Canis lupus familiaris: one gene and its partners. The protein of the gene in region 2 purifies or fractionates together with the protein of the main gene of each other region. This does not show direct contact. Links are inferred from orthologs where the notes say so. Each region holds a gene or a part of one and is shown on either strand. Other genes may lie near its edges.

Evidence for each region.
Region 1: the proteins of SMARCA4 (region 2) and BCL7B purify together in Homo sapiens (affinity purification with mass spectrometry; 6 studies listed by BioGRID and IntAct, with this or other methods). This does not show direct contact. The link is inferred for Canis lupus familiaris from reciprocal best matches to the Homo sapiens genes SMARCA4 and BCL7B.
Region 3: the proteins of SMARCA4 (region 2) and MYOD1 purify together in Homo sapiens (affinity purification with western blotting; 3 studies listed by BioGRID, with this or other methods). This does not show direct contact. The link is inferred for Canis lupus familiaris from reciprocal best matches to the Homo sapiens genes SMARCA4 and MYOD1.
Region 4: the proteins of SMARCA4 (region 2) and MYEF2 purify together in Homo sapiens (affinity purification with western blotting; 3 studies listed by BioGRID, with this or other methods). This does not show direct contact. The link is inferred for Canis lupus familiaris from reciprocal best matches to the Homo sapiens genes SMARCA4 and MYEF2.

Annotation. Positions count from the first base shown.
Region 1 is NC_049227.1:6,595,181-6,599,337, reverse strand, and holds the start of BCL7B (B-cell CLL/lymphoma 7 protein family member B), read right to left. Parts: upstream 2,839-4,157; 5' UTR 2,714-2,838; coding exon 2,622-2,713; intron 1-2,621. UniProt on the Homo sapiens protein: Positive regulator of apoptosis. Plays a role in the Wnt signaling pathway, negatively regulating the expression of Wnt signaling components CTNNB1 and HMGA1.
Region 2 is NC_049241.1:50,637,676-50,641,235, forward strand, and holds part of SMARCA4 (transcription activator BRG1), read right to left. Parts: intron 2,728-3,560; coding exon 2,554-2,727; intron 1,285-2,553; coding exon 1,117-1,284; intron 1,004-1,116; coding exon 953-1,003; intron 1-952. UniProt on the Homo sapiens protein: ATPase involved in transcriptional activation and repression of select genes by chromatin remodeling (alteration of DNA-nucleosome topology).
Region 3 is NC_049242.1:40,920,054-40,923,887, reverse strand, and holds MYOD1 (myoblast determination protein 1), read right to left. Parts: upstream 2,444-3,834; 5' UTR 2,225-2,443; coding exon 1,595-2,224; intron 1,117-1,594; coding exon 1,038-1,116; intron 790-1,037; coding exon 539-789; downstream 1-538. UniProt on the Homo sapiens protein: Acts as a transcriptional activator that promotes transcription of muscle-specific target genes and plays a role in muscle differentiation. Together with MYF5 and MYOG, co-occupies muscle-specific gene promoter core region during myogenesis.
Region 4 is NC_049251.1:14,712,209-14,716,391, forward strand, and holds the start of MYEF2 (myelin expression factor 2), read right to left. Parts: upstream 2,839-4,183; 5' UTR 2,824-2,838; coding exon 2,633-2,823; intron 2,236-2,632; exon of another isoform or gene 2,156-2,235; intron 1-2,155. UniProt on the Homo sapiens protein: Transcriptional repressor of the myelin basic protein gene (MBP). Binds to the proximal MB1 element 5'-TTGTCC-3' of the MBP promoter. Its binding to MB1 and function are inhibited by PURA.

The DNA of each region.
Region 1 (4,157 bases), on a different chromosome or scaffold from region 2:
CTGCCTTTGGCTCAGGTGGTGATCCCAGGGTCCTGGGATTGAGTCCCATATCAGGCTCCCCACAGGGAGCCTGCTTCTCCCTCTGCCTATGTCTCTGCCTCTCTGTGTCTCTCATGAATAAATAAATAAAATCTTTTTTAAAAAGTTAAGCCTAAAAAAAAATTTTCCCCCAGTTTTGGGGGAATGCAAGTGACATTCTTGAATAAGGATTAGATTATGGACAAGCAGAGCTGGGGAGCCTGAAGAATGACTTGTGAAAGTTTCAAATCCAAATGTGAGGTTCCAGAAAAGCAAAAAAAGCAAGTGTTGTGACTGCTGATATTGATGATGCCGTTCAACAAACAGAAAGAAGAATCAACTACAGACTTAGCAAACTGAAATTAATTCCTGGACTGAGCACTCCACTTCCTCATGATCCTGTGCTAGACCTTGGGCACACAGGCAGCAAGATGTACAGTCCCTACCCTCACAGAGCCTCATTCCAATTGGAAACAGAAATCAAACAACTCATTTCATAGTTGCTTAATCATTAGACTTAACCACATCAAACTGCCACTTCAGTTAAGTTAAAAAGTCAAATATAGGAAATGTCTTATTGGGATCCCTGGGTGGCGCAGTGGTTTGGCGCCTGCCTTTGGCTCAGGGCGTGATCCTGGAGACCCGGGATCGAATCCCACGTCGGGCTCCTGGTGCATGGAGCCTGCTTCTCCCTCTGCCTGTCTCTGCCTCTCTCTCTCTGTGACTATCATAAATAAATAAAAATAAAAATAAAAAAAAAAAGGAAATGTCTTATTATTCAATCTAATACAATTGTGGAAAGTTCTATGAAGGGGACCTGATTTAGATTAGAAATCTTAAAAGGTGTCCCTTGAGAAAGCAATTTTTGTGAGTAGTTAACTGGTCAAGGAATGAGTAGTTAACTAGTCAAGGAGGAGAAGGTAGATGATACCAGGCTTCCTGTGGCTCCCGCTGAAAGATGGCAAGCCACACGGGGAAAGAGGGCAGTCTGAGCCAGTCCAGTGAGGTAGGAAGACCATCTTTGGTCTTTAACCTAAGAGCAAGAAGAGGTCACTGAAGCATTGTTTCTATAGCAGGGGAATGCTATGATAATATTTACACTGAAAAGTGAAATCACTCTGAGTGCAATGTGATGAATGGACTGGGTAATGAGAGTTGAAGAAAGCCAAGAGTTCCAGATGAGAGAGGATGGTCCTCTGGCCAGACTGCTGGGGCTGGGGGTCAGGGTTCAGCAGAGATGGCCAGAAGAAAAGGAAAGGTGTGCTGATTCTTAGGTTTCACCAAAAAACAAACAAACCCCAACCCTAGGAGGATTAGATTTGGAGGGAAAAAAATCATTAATTATTTAATATATATGAATCTCAACTACATATAAAGCTCTTATATATAAAGAAATAAGGAGGGGCAGCCCAGGTGGCCCAGTGGTTTAGTGCCGCCTTCAGCCCAGGGTGTGATCCTGGAGTCCCGGGATCGAGTCCCAGGTCAAGCTCCCTGCGTGGAGCCTGTTTCTCTCTCTGCCTGTGTCTCAGCCTCTCTCTCTCTCTCTCTGTCATGAATAAATAAAATCGGAAGGAAAGGAAGGAAGGAAGGAACTTGTGAGGGAGGGGGATCCCTGGGTGGCCCAGCGGTTTAGCGCCTGCCTTTGGCCCAGGGCGCCATCCTGGAGTCCCGGGATCGAGTCCCACGTCGGACTCCTGGCACGGAGCCTGCCTCTCTCTATGTCTATAATTAAATAAATAAATAAATAAATAAATCTTAAAAAAAAAAAAAAAAGGTACTTGTGAGGGAAACGAAGAGACACGCAAAAACAAAAACAACACCTGAAGTAATGATGCCCCTGGAGTGGATAGAGGTCTCTGGAAGGAAGGCTAACCCCTACCTGGGCTTTAAAACTATTACTAGCAGTCGGCCAGATTAAAAGACTCAAGAAGTTGGAGCAAACAGTTGGCTGTTAAACTTTTAATGTGATGATGCATCGAAGTTCCTGATACAAAACAGGCGGCCAACCGGCCCTGCAATGAACATCACACAAGCCGTTTCCAAATGAGGGTAGGTCTCGACGACTGCTTTATCAACAGCCTACCCAGCTGGCGGCGTGCGGGCCAGTGCACTGGGGGGAAAGGCGGGTTTTGATTCCCTTGACCACGGCTGCTCCCGTGACAGGTTTAGCGAGCAGCTCTCACCAAACTTAAAACGAGTTAACACGTAGAGCGCTCGGCCTGGCTGGCGGGAAACCCCCCGAGACTGTCAGCTACCACGCCGGGCAGCTCAGAGGCAGCAAGGCTCCCGAGACCCGCCGGGTGGGGCGCGGCGCGCGAACGAGGCCACGCAGCCACCACGGCGGCCGGAAGCCCGCAGCCCCTCCGGGAGACGCGCGGCCCTCGGGCAGGTGGGCGGGCCCGCGAGCCGGGCGACCCCCTGATTGGCGGCAGCCGGCGCGCCCTCTGACCTCACGCCGACGCGAGCTGCACCCTCCTCCCGCCTTCTCCCGCTCCCCCCTCCCCCCAGCGCCTGCCGGTCGGCGCCCACCCCGCCAGCCAGTCTCGCGCTCCTCTGGGCCTGGGCTGGCGACCCCGCCGGCACCCTCGGGTCCGGCCCCTCACCATTTCCGCACTTTCTCGATGGCCGCCATCACCTTCTTGATGTCGTCCTTGGCCCGGCTGCGGGTCTCTGCCCGGACCGACCGGCCCGACATGGCGGCAGCGGGAGCGGCGGGGGCCGGGGCACTGCTCCCAAGACCCAGGGAATCGCGCGCCTCACGCACCGCCGCCTGCCCGCCGCAGCAGCGTCACCGCAGCCGTCGCCCCCTCCGTGCGCGCGTGCGCGAGGAAGCGCGCGCACCCGCCCGCCTCTTGGGGCTCGAGGCCTCAGCGCGCCTGCGCGCCCCGCCCCGGGCGGCCCTCCCTGGGCGCCCCAGGAGTCTCCCGTCTGCCCCCGTGCAGGCCGCGGTTCGCGAAGAGCGGCGGCACGTGCTGCGGGCAAGGCGAGGTGCGAGGCGCTGCCCGTGGGCTCCCTTTCGGGGTTTGGAGGTCGGCACCTTTGCCCTCTTGCCGGGGTTGCTGCCTTTAGCTACGTGTTATGCATTTGACCCGAACGGGTGCGCGGTTCTGTTGCCTCTCCTCTCCAGCTCCCTTGCTTTCCGGATAGTACTGTTGTGCTCTAACCACAGAATCTCACACCTTAATTCAGTATATTCTCCTAACTTGGCACACACCGGCTCCCTTCCTGGAATTCTCATCACTTTACCTGTGAACTGACCACGTAGTCTACTAACATCCAGATCCAACTCAGAGAAGCCTTCCCCTGCTATCCTCAGGTTCCGCTTAGCACTCTACATCACTGTCTGATTTAATCCTGCAGTCGTTGACTGAGTGGTGCTTGCGTTCTGCAAGGCTACGTGGCCAATGCTGAGGACAAAACCTGGGTTTTTGCCTTCAAAGAGCTTCCAGTTCAGAACATCCAGACCAGAAAACAGGCCTTTTAAATGCCATTTTATGAATGATAGGCTAAAGTAGTCCTAATCCAAATAAGGGGTGTCCAGAGGCTTCCGGGAAAATATAACCTTGAAGTCGACCTCTGAAAACGGGATACAAGTGCAACTGCTCCAAGACATGTGTCCACACATTGTAGAACATGCTCAATAAATATTTGGGTGAATGTTGAATTTTGAGAGCAGCTTCTTTGCTCTCCATTCCCTCCCCCATATTTATTGATGCCTGCGGTATTTAGGGAGGCTTCATAGAGTAACAGCCTCAGGAGACATAAAGGAAGCAGGTGACAGTTTGCATTGATTGATTGGCAGTGGTTACTTCTCTCACCTCTAGAGAAACCTCCTTCTGTATGCCTCAGAAAAATGCCTAGCTAACTCGAACTCGACACAGCCTCTGACTATGTTCAGGCATTCATGACTAACATCACGATTTGATAAGCATATGCTGTCTTGCTAATGAGAAGCCTGGGAATAGCATCTGACTGACTGAGGACTGGAAGAGCTGAACCAGCATGTGGAGAGAAGGGATGATTCTAGAACTAATGGGATCAGAGGTGGCCTATCTGTTTCTCAAGCCCAACTGATCCAAAATAACTCAATGCAAGTACAGCCTGAGCACCTGTTATATGCCCTAGAGTATGTAGGCCAC
Region 2 (3,560 bases):
TGATATTGGGAGAAACCAATTAATAGATGAAGAAACTAGTGGATGGAAATCTGAGAACGTAAAATATGTTTAAAGAGCCTTGAGCATCTCTCCACAAGGTATTTAATAATTATAAAAGGAAAAGTAGGAACTTTTCATCACAAATGTCTTGGCAGACAGCAAGGAATAATGGTCAATATCACCAGTGACTGAAGACATCTATGCCATGCACTCCTGAGGTGACCCATGGAGGACACGGCGTCACTCTGGGCTCTACCTGCCAGGAACACATGACCTGAATCTAATCATAAAGAAACAGCAACTCAAACCCAAATTAAAGGCCCTGTAGGAAATACTTGGCTTGTGCTCTTCAGAAATGCCAAGGTCAGAAAAAGCTAAAAGGAAGTGAGGAGCCGTTCAGGATCAAAGGACTAGAAGGACCACCACTGAATGCGATGCATGGCCACACCTTAGCAAATGTTGGGGACGAGATCACGGTATTACTACAGCCGTGTTTGTTTCTGCTTGGTGATCACTGCACAGTTACCAAATAGGACCTTATTTTTAGGAAACACACTGAAGTGCATGGAAGGAAAGGGTCTTCATGTCTGCATCTGATTCTAAGATAGTTTAGGAAAAAAATGTGTGAGAAAATGGGGAACCCAGGTGAGGAAGAGGCAGGAATTCTTTGTCCTGCAATTATGTTAGAGTGAAACTAAAAAATAACAGCATGTACAAAAGAGAGAAGTCTGGAAGGAAACATGCCCAGGAACTGACAATCTACCCTCTTGGGAGTGGACTGAGAAGGGGTGGGATGTGGCAAGGGACATAAGTGGATTCTTCCCATTGTCATAGACAGTGCTGGTGATTTGAAAAGGAAAAAAAAAAAAAAAAAAAAAGTTAAAGGATGCAATAGATCTAAGCTCCCAAGGTTGGGCTGGCCCTTCATGAAAAGAAACTCCTGATTCCTTACCTCGCCATCAGGTCCGATTGCAGGCGTCTGTCCTTCTGCATTTTCTGCCTTCTGGAAGCAAAGAGAGACATGGTCACTTCCTGAATGGGGAGGTTAGGCACACATGCCAAGACAGCTGCTCCAGCCCCACCCAGGGCCAGGCACACGGCCAGGTCCCAGCACACCTTCTTTTTCTTTTTCTTCTTTTTCTCCTTGGCGACCTGGGCAGCCTTGTGCTGCCGCACCAGCTCCGTGAGGTTAGCCACATACTCATCTGTCTGCTGTAAGAGGTAGGCCAAGCGCTTGTCCTTCTTCTGGTCGATGAGCTTGCGGTACCCCTCCTCATCTTCAGCCTGCAGAAGGGTGAGGTTATGGTGCTTGCTTGCAAGAGACAGGTGCTCGTCCATTAGCGCCCCAGGCAGGGACCCCAGAGTCAAGAAGCCCACCGGGGGCTGTTGTTAACCAACAACCAGACCCTCACTAAGGGAGTGGTTAGCTTACACCAGAGCCGTGCTGTATGTACACACTTCACATAGCTGTCAACTTCTTAAGTATTTCCTCAACCCCATTTCCAGGGAAGACCCCAAGGGGGCCTGCTGGGCATACATGCCTTTGCCAGAAGTCTTTTGAAAAGGCCAACAGCCAAGTCCTGGACCCTCTGTCCAAAAACACACCCCAAATCCAACAAATCCAAGCACTGCTCTCCGGTCCGGGCCAGATTACTCTCACAGACCCATAAGCAGGCCCCTCCTGACTTTCTAATAATCAATCAGATCATGTCACCCCAGCTTACACCCTCCTGTGGCTCTCCCCTTCCCCCCGGTATACAGAATTAAATCTAAGCCTTCCTCATGGCCTACAAGGCCCCCTTGACTGCCCTAGGACTCTGCCCTTGCTCATGTCCTCCCCGCACCATTCCAGGAGCACCTGCTATGCCTCACACTTGGTGTTCTGTTACCTGAAGCTCTTACCCTTGCTTCATACAGTCGCCCTCTATCCCTGGGAGACACCTCAGGGAGACATGCTCACCCTTCCCATAAAACCCCCATCAACCCCCATTCCCTCATCCTGCTTCATTCTCTCTGGTGTACTTCCCACCACCTAAAATCACCTTGTTTGTTCAGCCTGGGCATCTGTCTCCCTAGGGCCAGCAGGAGTGGCTGTGAGGGGAGAGACCGCATGCTTCTCCGTGCTGCCGTGGCCACATACATGCACCAGTGCCTGTCAGTATCTGCCCAGCTAGAGAATCCCCCCAAACAGCCAGACACAGAGAGTGGGGAGGAAGGACAGGGATCACATCATCCGTCACGAGGAAGGACAGGGATCACATCATCCGTCACTATCCCGACCTGGAGTATACGCCCCCTCCATTTTCTGGAGAGAACACAAGAGCAGCCAGCTAACCAGCCTAAGGTTTTTGCGATCACTGATGGAACGAACAGGCAAAGGTCTCAGGCCAGGTCTTCTGGATTCCCAAACCCAAGTCCTTTCTTTCTCTCTGTCCCACCTCTAACTCTTAAACCTCAGCATAACACTGGGCAATCAATCCCTGGTGCCTGCCATACCCAAAGCACCCTTGACCAGACACAAAGGCACATGATGTCACGGAGGCAGAAATTTACCATGAGTCTCCGCATTCTCTCTTTCTCAATTCTTTCATTTTCCTTCTTCTGTTCCCTCTCCGTGTTGGCGTGGTACGTGGCCACCGCCTTCGTGAGTTTCTGGATTTTGCCTGTGACCGATCTGTGATATTCTTTGAAATCCTTGGCATGCTGCAGAATGCTGTTGAGGTATTCCTGCAGGGATATATACAAAAGAGAGAACTGGCTACTCCCCAGGGATTGCTGTAGCATTGGTGCAAAGGAAGCAAAGCTTTAAAAAGGCAGCTTGTTTAAAACCAAGATGACGGGGGATCCCCGGGTGACTCAGTGGTTTAGCGCCACCTTTGGCCCAGGGTGTGATCCTGGAGACCCAGGATCGAGTCCCGCATCAGGCTCCCTGCATGGAGCCTACTTCTCCCTCTGCCTGTCTCTCTCTCATGAATAAATAAATTAAAATCTTAAAAAAAAAAAAAAACAAGATGACGTAATCAAAACAGTATGACAAGGACACTGTCTGCCTCTGAGGTTCGGCGTTCTCTGTATCAGGAAAACCCAAGGCTGGGGACTATGGTGAATAGACAGGGCTATCCGCTTCACTGAAACAATCTGGCAGTAACCACTTTAAAACGCTCTTCCCCTCCAAACAAGTTATTCTACTGCCAGGAATTCCCTTTAAGGAAAGGGGCAGATATTGGCCAAAAAAAATCAAGTTCAAGAATGCCTATTCTAGTATTATTTCTAACACTGCAAGGTTAAGAATATGCAACACGTGACCAAACGGGGAAACGGTTACAGAAGTTACTAGATGTGAACACAGAGAAGGAATCCAACGTAGATGCTGAATGTCATTCTTCCATAACACTTAAAAACAAGCCAGTGGGTGTATAGATTTGTTTAAAGAAAGCTATTTAACTTTTGAATACTCTGCGTACAGAAAACCAACATGAGTGATGCATACCAAAATGTAAACAACAGTGGTCAACGCTGAGTATTGACTTTAATTTTTAAACTCTACCAGTACTAGATAC
Region 3 (3,834 bases), on a different chromosome or scaffold from region 2:
GGAGTGGTTAGTGTTACACGAGCGCACCTCGCGCAGCGCCGGGGCAGAGCAAAGTCGCCGGTGCTGGGGAGCGAGAGGCCACGCCCCCTTAGGCTACAAAGTAGCGGGGCTCGGGGAGAAGAGGCCACGCCCCCTTAGGCTACAAAGTAGCGGGGCTCGGGGAGAAGTGGCCACGCCCCCTTAGGCTCCCCCGGCGCCCGGAGGCGGGGCTTAGGTCTGCGCGGGTCCCACCCCGCGCAAGAAGGGGAAGGGTCTGGCCCCTCAAGAGTCAGCTCTGGCCCAAGGAGGGACCCCTAAAGGCCATCGCAGCGAGTCTCAGGGAAGGGTGTTGCGTGGAAAAAAAGGACTGTGTCCTTACTGTGGAGCGCGGGAGTGGAAACACACAAACAGTTCTCCCTCCGCTCCCAACTCGGGAGGGGTCGCTTTTAAAGCGCGGTTGGGAGTGGGGCTGGCGTTTAAGCTCAATCTTTGGGGCGCGGGGGGCGCCGTCCCTCGGGCGCGTGGGCAGCGGAGGCCTCCCATGCGGCCGCCCACCCCCTCAGAGCACCTGGTAGATGGGGTTGGGGTTTGCGCCCGCTGGGCACTGCGGGGCGGCGTCCGGGGAAGGGGTGGGGGCGCCGCGCTCCGCGTCGCTCTGGGCGGCGGCCTCCTGCGGTCCGGGAGACGACTCCGGCGGCGCCTCGGCCAGCAGGAGCGCGGGCGCCGTGGGGCTCTCGGTGGAGATGCGCTCCACGATGCTGGACAGGCAGTCGAGGCTCGACACCGCAGCACTCTTCCCGGGCCTGGGTTCTGCGCGGGGAGGGGTGGGTTAGTGGCGGCTGAGCCGCGGACAGGCCTCCCGCCTCCGGGCTCAGTGCTTGGGGGCAGACGGGAACCTGAGGACCCAGGGAGAGCACGGAGCGAAAAGGGAGTGGGCTGCACGCTTAGTATTTCATTCCCTGTACCGTCTCCGGGATTAGGGGGAGGGGGAGGTCCAGATAGAGGGAAGCCGTGGCAGCTCAAAGCGGGTAACGTGGGAAGGAGGCGCAAATACGCACCGCTGGGCGCCTCGCTGTAGTAGGTGCCATCGTAGCAGTTCCGCCGCCGGGCACCGCTCGGGGGGCCGCTGTAGTCCATCTGCAAACGGCAAGGGCAAGGGCGACCGAGTCAGGCTCGGGGACCGCGGGGGGCCAGAGCATCACTCTCTGTAACCACCTGCCCCAACTCCCCATGTCTCCGCCACGAGATCTGGGCCCTGGCTGGGGGACAGGGGCGGACGGAGATTGTCTGCAATCTCCCGGGCCAACCAGCGCGTGGACAGTCGCCTAGGAGCATAAGTCTATTTTGTAAATAGGGATGAGTGCAGAAAAGCACAACTCCAGGTCGCTGCAGCAGAGCTCTAACAGCGCCCCCGGCCGGGTGGATCGCATTTGTCCCGTGCGCCCCCAGAGCATCAGGCCACCCCGGTGACGGCTGCTCAGGACACCAGGGTCCACTCCCCAGAAGGTTCCCGGCCCAAACCTCCCTCTGGAGGGCCAACTCCCCGCCTTGTGCAACGCGTCCCAGATACAGCAAGAGCTGCCCTCACTTCTCTAGCTCGGGGTCCTGGCCTTACCATGCCGTCGGAGCAGTTGGAGCGCGGGCTGGACGCGTCGGAGTCGCCGCTGTAGTGTTCGCCGCCACGGCCTGGGGGCAGCGGGCCAGGCGCGTAGAAGGCAGCGGCGGCACCAGGGGGCGCGGCGTCCTGGTCGCGCAGCAGCGCCTGCAGACCTTCGATGTAGCGAATCGCGTTGCGCAGGATCTCCACCTTGGGCAGCCGCTGGTTCGGGTTGCTGGACGTGCAGCGCTTGAGCGTCTCGAAAGCCTCGTTGACTTTGCTCAGGCGGCGCCGCTCGCGCATGGTGGCGGCCTTGCGGCGGTCGGCGTTGGTGGTCTTGCGCTTGCACGCTTTGCAGGCCCACAGCAGACAGCGGCCGGCCTGGTGGTGCCCGCTGGGAGCGCGCACATGCTCGTCCTCGCGCGCGCCTGGCGCAGGGTGCACGGCCGCAGGGAAGTGCGAGTGCTCCTCGGGCTTCAGGAGCGCGCCCACGTGCACGAGGCGCGGGTCCAGGTCCTCGAAGAAACGCAGGTCGGGGGAGTCGAAACACGGGTCATCGTAGAAATCATCCGCCGAGGCGAAGTTGCAGAGGGAGCCGTCGGGGCCGCTCAAGTCTACGTCGCGGAGCGGCGGCGACAGCAGCTCCATATCCCGGCAGGGGGTGGCGCAGTCCCGGCTTCGCCAGGGGTTGCCCCAAACTTTCTGCCTCTCCGCAGCCCTGGCCGTGCGATGGTAAAGTACGGGGTCGTCTGAATGGACACCCGACTTTCCCCCCCTCCGCCGGGTCCTGTCGGGCCTGATGCGCCGGTGAGGAAAGCGGCTGCAGCGCCCCGGGGCTTCCCCACCCCTAGCCTCACGCCAGGCGCCCGGGGCTATTTATCCCGTAGTAGCTAAAGGGCCCCAGAGCGGGAGCGGGCGGCTGGGGGCGGGGGCGCCCGAGGCCAATAGAAACGGGGTGGGGAGGAGCTTGGGATCCCCAGGGTGGCCGCTGGGGCAGGAGACTGGCCAGCCCCCTAGCCCTCGACCCCCGCGCGCGCGCTCCCGCCCCTCCCCGGGCTGGGAGCGAGGCAGAGGCTGGCAGCCCCACGCGGCTGCACTCGGCTCGCGGGCGCGCTCGCTCCAAACCTCCCCGCGCCGTCCGCGTCCGGCGCCCTCGGAAAATGTTGGCCGCGCGCGCCCAGCTCCAAGCTGACTTTGGGCTTCCCTCTGTCCTAGGATTTGTGGGGGACCCAGGTGCAGGGGATGAGTAGAACAGATCGCGAGGGATTTGGAGAGAGACCCGTGGCAGTGGGGCAGAGACACACTCAGAGCGGAGATAGTGAGACAGTGAGAGATACGGCCAAGAGATAGAGACCGAGCAGAAAGCTAGAGGCAGAAGCAGAGAAACCTGCGGCGAGACATAGAGTCCTGGGGGCGAACCGGAATCCCTGGGTGGCGCAGCGGTTTGGCGCCTGCCTTTGGCCCAGGGCGGGATCCTGTAGACCCGGGATCGAATCCCACGTCGGGCTCCCGGTGCATGGAGCCTGCTTCTCCCTCTGCCTGTGTCTCTGCCTCTCTCTCTGTGTGTGTGTGTGACTATCATAAATAAAAAAAAGGGGGGGGCGAACCTGAGATAAACTGGATGCGGCGGCCGGTCCTCGGCCAGTTCCCACCTGGGGAGTCGCTCAGAGGGCGGAGGGCCCAGCCCACCTTCCCCGCCCGCCCGCCTAGGAACAGAGCCGCATGGTGCAGAAGAGGAGGATGGCTGCTGACCCTTGGCGCCAATCTCGCCAAGCCCAGGTCCTGCCCCAGGCTGGAGGCAGGGAAGTGCACTCCTGCCCAGCTCGACCTGTGTGTTTCCGCAGCGGAGTGTCCAGTGCGGGGCTGGGTGGAGATGTGTCTTCAACTGGGAAGAAAACTGTCTGCTCCGGTTTTGCCTCCTTGTTGCGTGCAGCGCTGCACCAGCGAAGTTCACTGCGCAAAGGCCTGGAGCGTCGGGACTCAGCCTGGGAACCCCACATCAGAGTGGAATCTTTGAGAGTAGAGCTTGCAGACCAATGACCTAAGTCCGAATCTGGATCCCACAGTTTTCCTGTGTGATTTTTGCGGAAGTCACATCGCCTTCCAAGCCTCCCGTTTCCCCAGTTTGTAAATTTGGAGATAATAAGAGCGATTTCTTGGAGCGATTGTGGTGGTGGTGAGAATCTAAAGACACCAAAAGATGTGGAGGTCCTCAGTCGGAGGTGCAAGGCTGTATTCTGGAGAAGGCTTGCTTCTGT
Region 4 (4,183 bases), on a different chromosome or scaffold from region 2:
GGCGCCAAACCGCTGCGCCACCCAGGGGTCCCTAATACGATTTTAAAAGAGTGCTTTAGTATAAGATCTAAAATTATGCGCAGTTCCATTCTTTATTCCTAATATAAAAAATATTACTCCACCTCACTTTGCTTCACGCTAAATGCTTAGGATCTTACGCAATATTTTATACCCTAATGTAACTCTCAATCTTCAAATACAGTGTTACTTAATTACACAGAAATAATGAAGAGTTGTAACAATACTGCTATTTTTCCCCCTCTTTCACTTAAGGAGAACTGGCATACCACTTTGGCATAAACAAAAAGACTAAACCTAGGAAGACATCTTTAACTTCTCAAAAGATGTGAACATGCCCACGAAATCCTCTGTGTGTGTCATGATGATAGAAGTTCACGTCTGCACTTCTTACATAAATTTACTGGACCTTTTTAAGTATAAGGCCTTGGGGATACAAAGATGAATAAGACATAGTGGTCTCCATCCTCAATGACTATGGATTAACCTCAGAAAAGTCATTTTAATCTTGGTAGGTGGCACCCTGCTCAATGTTAAGCAATACATATTTTACATTCACATACTGTGAATTCTTATCCTTAAAAATGTAAGGTAATCAAATCAAAAGTTATGTGTTGGATTGTTAACTACTCCAGTTGGTTCATAGGGTCAAATAAAGGTTGTTAGGTTGATGCAGGTAAATGTCCCCAGTGATTCAGCATGAGCGACCCATGCTGGACCACTATATGGTTCTCATGGAACTGACAGTACAAGAAACCCTTGGGAATAAATTTGCATCTTTACTCAACTTTTGGGAAAAAAGAGTGAGAGATGAATTATAAGTAACATGAAAAGCATCTTCATTTGTACTTACTAGTAACATTTCTTAACTTCACTTTATATTCCCCCCCACCCCCCTTCTTCAATTAGAAGTGAGAGATTCTTTTCGTAGGAAAGAATCGTAGGAAAAAAATCTCTCCTCTCCTGTCCAGCTAAACCACAATGAGACTTTCAAAGGGATTAGAGACTTTCAGATCTGGGAGGTTTAGATGCCAGCTTTATCTGTACTGACACTATTATAGTAATCACACCCAAGTATAGTAGGGCTTCTCTCTGTAATTCAAGGCTGTACTTCTTGTTTGGGAGAATAGGGTGGCAAGTCCATGTCTGATGTAAACAAAAAGCACGTATTTTATCATTCCAATGCTTTCTATTCAAATTTATGATGCCGAATCCCAGAGAGCCCACATTTTGGCAGGCATGGTACAAAGTGCTCGCTTTCCAGCTGCTCAGTTCCTGAGGTGCACCACTTTGCACCTAGGAACAAATCCCACGGAGGTCGAATCTCTTCTACCTGCACCTCTATTCTGCCTGGAAGATGCAATCTATCCTATTCAAACCCAACTGAAAACAAGAGGGTTCAAAGTGAGCTGCGAGAGCTACCTCATCTGCCCTCAACCCCTACACCAACTAGTTCAGGTCTTACCCTCCTGCTTCAAACATTTTACACACACACACACACACACACACAAAAAAACACTTTTCTTTCCTATTTTAGGGTGACCGTGTATGTTCACCGCTCTCTGAGGCACAACTGAAGAGAAGGAAAAGGATGTTTTTTTTGTTGTTGTTGGTTTTTTTTGTTTTTGTTTTTTTGTTTTTTTTGTTTTTTTTGGCTAAAGTAGTAACAGACTTTCCAAGTTTAAAGAGCTGGGCACCTGCAAAAGAATGCCTGATTCACAGCACCTGTACGACAAGAACAATGGGGGAGCGTGTTTTCTTATAAACTAGAAATTATGGATTCGACGCAACCAAATCCTTTATAAGCATTGGTGACAGGGGCAATCTTAAAAGCAGCGGGCTTTCTTCGATTTTTAAACAACAACAACAAAAAAAATCTTAGTTTACCATTTTACCAAAATCAAGAACAAAACCATCACACAACGAGTTCTTTAAAAAAAATAATGATGACCTGTATAGCTGACTTACACACACCTGCGGGGGCGGGAGCGGTGGGGGTCAAGGCACCAACGCACATTTTCCTTTCGGAATCACCTCTTAACCAATGCAAGAATGACACAATGGATTCAGGCTAACCGCGCATTATTAAACTCCCCCCTTGGCATACATAATCCGTTCGGAAAATGAGATCATATACTTTGGAAACAGCAGCAGCAGCAGCAAACACCGAACTCACGAAGCTCGGGATGAGGCCGGGAGATGGGGGGCGGGGGGAGGGGGAGGGGGAGCCGTTCCTTTGAAACGCGTTCCCCGTGGTTGGGAGGAAATGCCCGATGATGTCATCCCTAGTTACTCCCTAGCGATGAACACCAGCTACGGGGCTGGGCTTTAAAAGGGGGACCATCTTCCCGCGGACGGCGGCGGCCGCGGAGCCCGGCTCCAAGGCTCTCCCCCGGGAAGGACGCGGCGCCCCGCGCGCGGCGGGAGGAGGAGGCCGGGGGGGGGGGGGGGGAGGCCCGACTCGCACCTGCGCGCCCGCCGCCCGCCGCCCACGCCCGCAGCGACCAGGCCCCAGGCCGGCCCTGACCCCCCGCCCCGCCCCGCCCCGCCCCCCGTCCCAGGCCGACTCCCCGCCCCCCCACCTCGCCCCGGTGCCCGGAGGAAAAGACAATACATTTTAACGCCATTGGAGCTGCTGCTGCCGCTGCCGCCGTGCTGCGGAGGCTGCTTCTCCGGCTCCGGCTCCGGCGGGTGCGGGTGCGGGTGCGGGTCTCGCCGCGGCTCGCCCGGCTGCTCCGCGGGCTGCTGATGCGGGCTGTCGTCGCCGGCGGCCCCGAGCACCTCGGGCTTGTCGGCGTCCGCCATCCCGCCGTCGCTGCCTCCGCCTCCGCCCCCGCCTCCGCCTCGGCCGCCTGCGCGGAGGGGCTCCGAGCGCTGCAATGGCGGCGGCCGGGAAAGCGGTAACGGATCCCGATTTGAAAAGGCCCCGAGCGCTCAGCGGCCCGGATCTCGCGAGAACCGGCCGGAGCCGGGAGACTAGGCGAGGGTGTGAGCCGGGCGCGGGGGGTGGGCGCGGAGGGGGAGGGGAGGGGGCGGGGGGGGGGGCGGCGGGCCGGGGACGCCGGGGCCGCAGCCCGCCCTGCGCGAGCCCGGGGGCGGCCTGACGTGCCCGGAAGCCCCCGATGGGGCCCAGCTCTGCCCACCAGCCCGCCCGCCGCTGGACGCCCACTGGGGTCTCCGCGTACAGAAGTCGGCCCCAGGGCTAGAAATCCCTTGAGCTCCGAAACCCACACTATTCGATCCATTCCTGGGACGGGGCAGTTTAAAGAAGCACATACCACTTTGCATCTTTAAAGACCTCTGCAAATGCACATACCACTTTGCATCTTTAAAGACCTCTGCAAATCTTCAGACACACACCCCTCCCCCCCCCCTTAGAAATCCTTTGAATAATGCAAATAAATCACTTGCTACTTCAATGCCTAGGCACTCTGTGGACATCCAATATACAGTCATTGACGACAGGTTGCAATTCACCAAAATGAACAGCTTTGAATTTCTTTGCATTCTGGTTGTTCTTAAGACAGACGCTTTAGAACTCAGCCATCAGCTTCCAAAAAGAAGGCTGGAAGTTTTCGAATTCTCTGGGCAGCAACCAATGAGGAGAATCTATAATTTTAATAAGAAATCTTCTGCTAGACTAGCTGATAATGGACATTTTGGCTTGGAGTTGTGTTATTTTTATGTTGATGAAAATTACATTCGAAGCAGTTATGGGCTTTCAAACATTTAATTACCATATGGAGTTTTAAGATATACTCATAGATTTTCCCAAATATGAAAAAGTAACCCGTTAAACATAATCAACTACTAACTCCTGAAGACTGATAATATTTCACATTTAAATAGCCTTTGTCAGCTGAGAAGTTTAAAGACCTTCTCAAATGTTTCTTCTGGTAAAGAAGCAAACCTGTATGGTTTAGGTGCTTTGCAGAGTATCACACACACATTAGTAGTCAAGTGGTAGTTTGAAGCTAACATTCAGGGACACCTGGGTGGCTCAGTGGGTGAGCATCTGCCTTTGGCTCAGGTCATGATGCTGGCGTCCTGGGATGGAGCCCCACATCTGGCTCCCTACGGGGAGCCTATTTCTCCCTCTGCCTATGTCTCTGCCTCTCTCTCTGTGGAAAGAAGGAAGGAAGGAAGGAAGGAAGGGAGGGAGGGA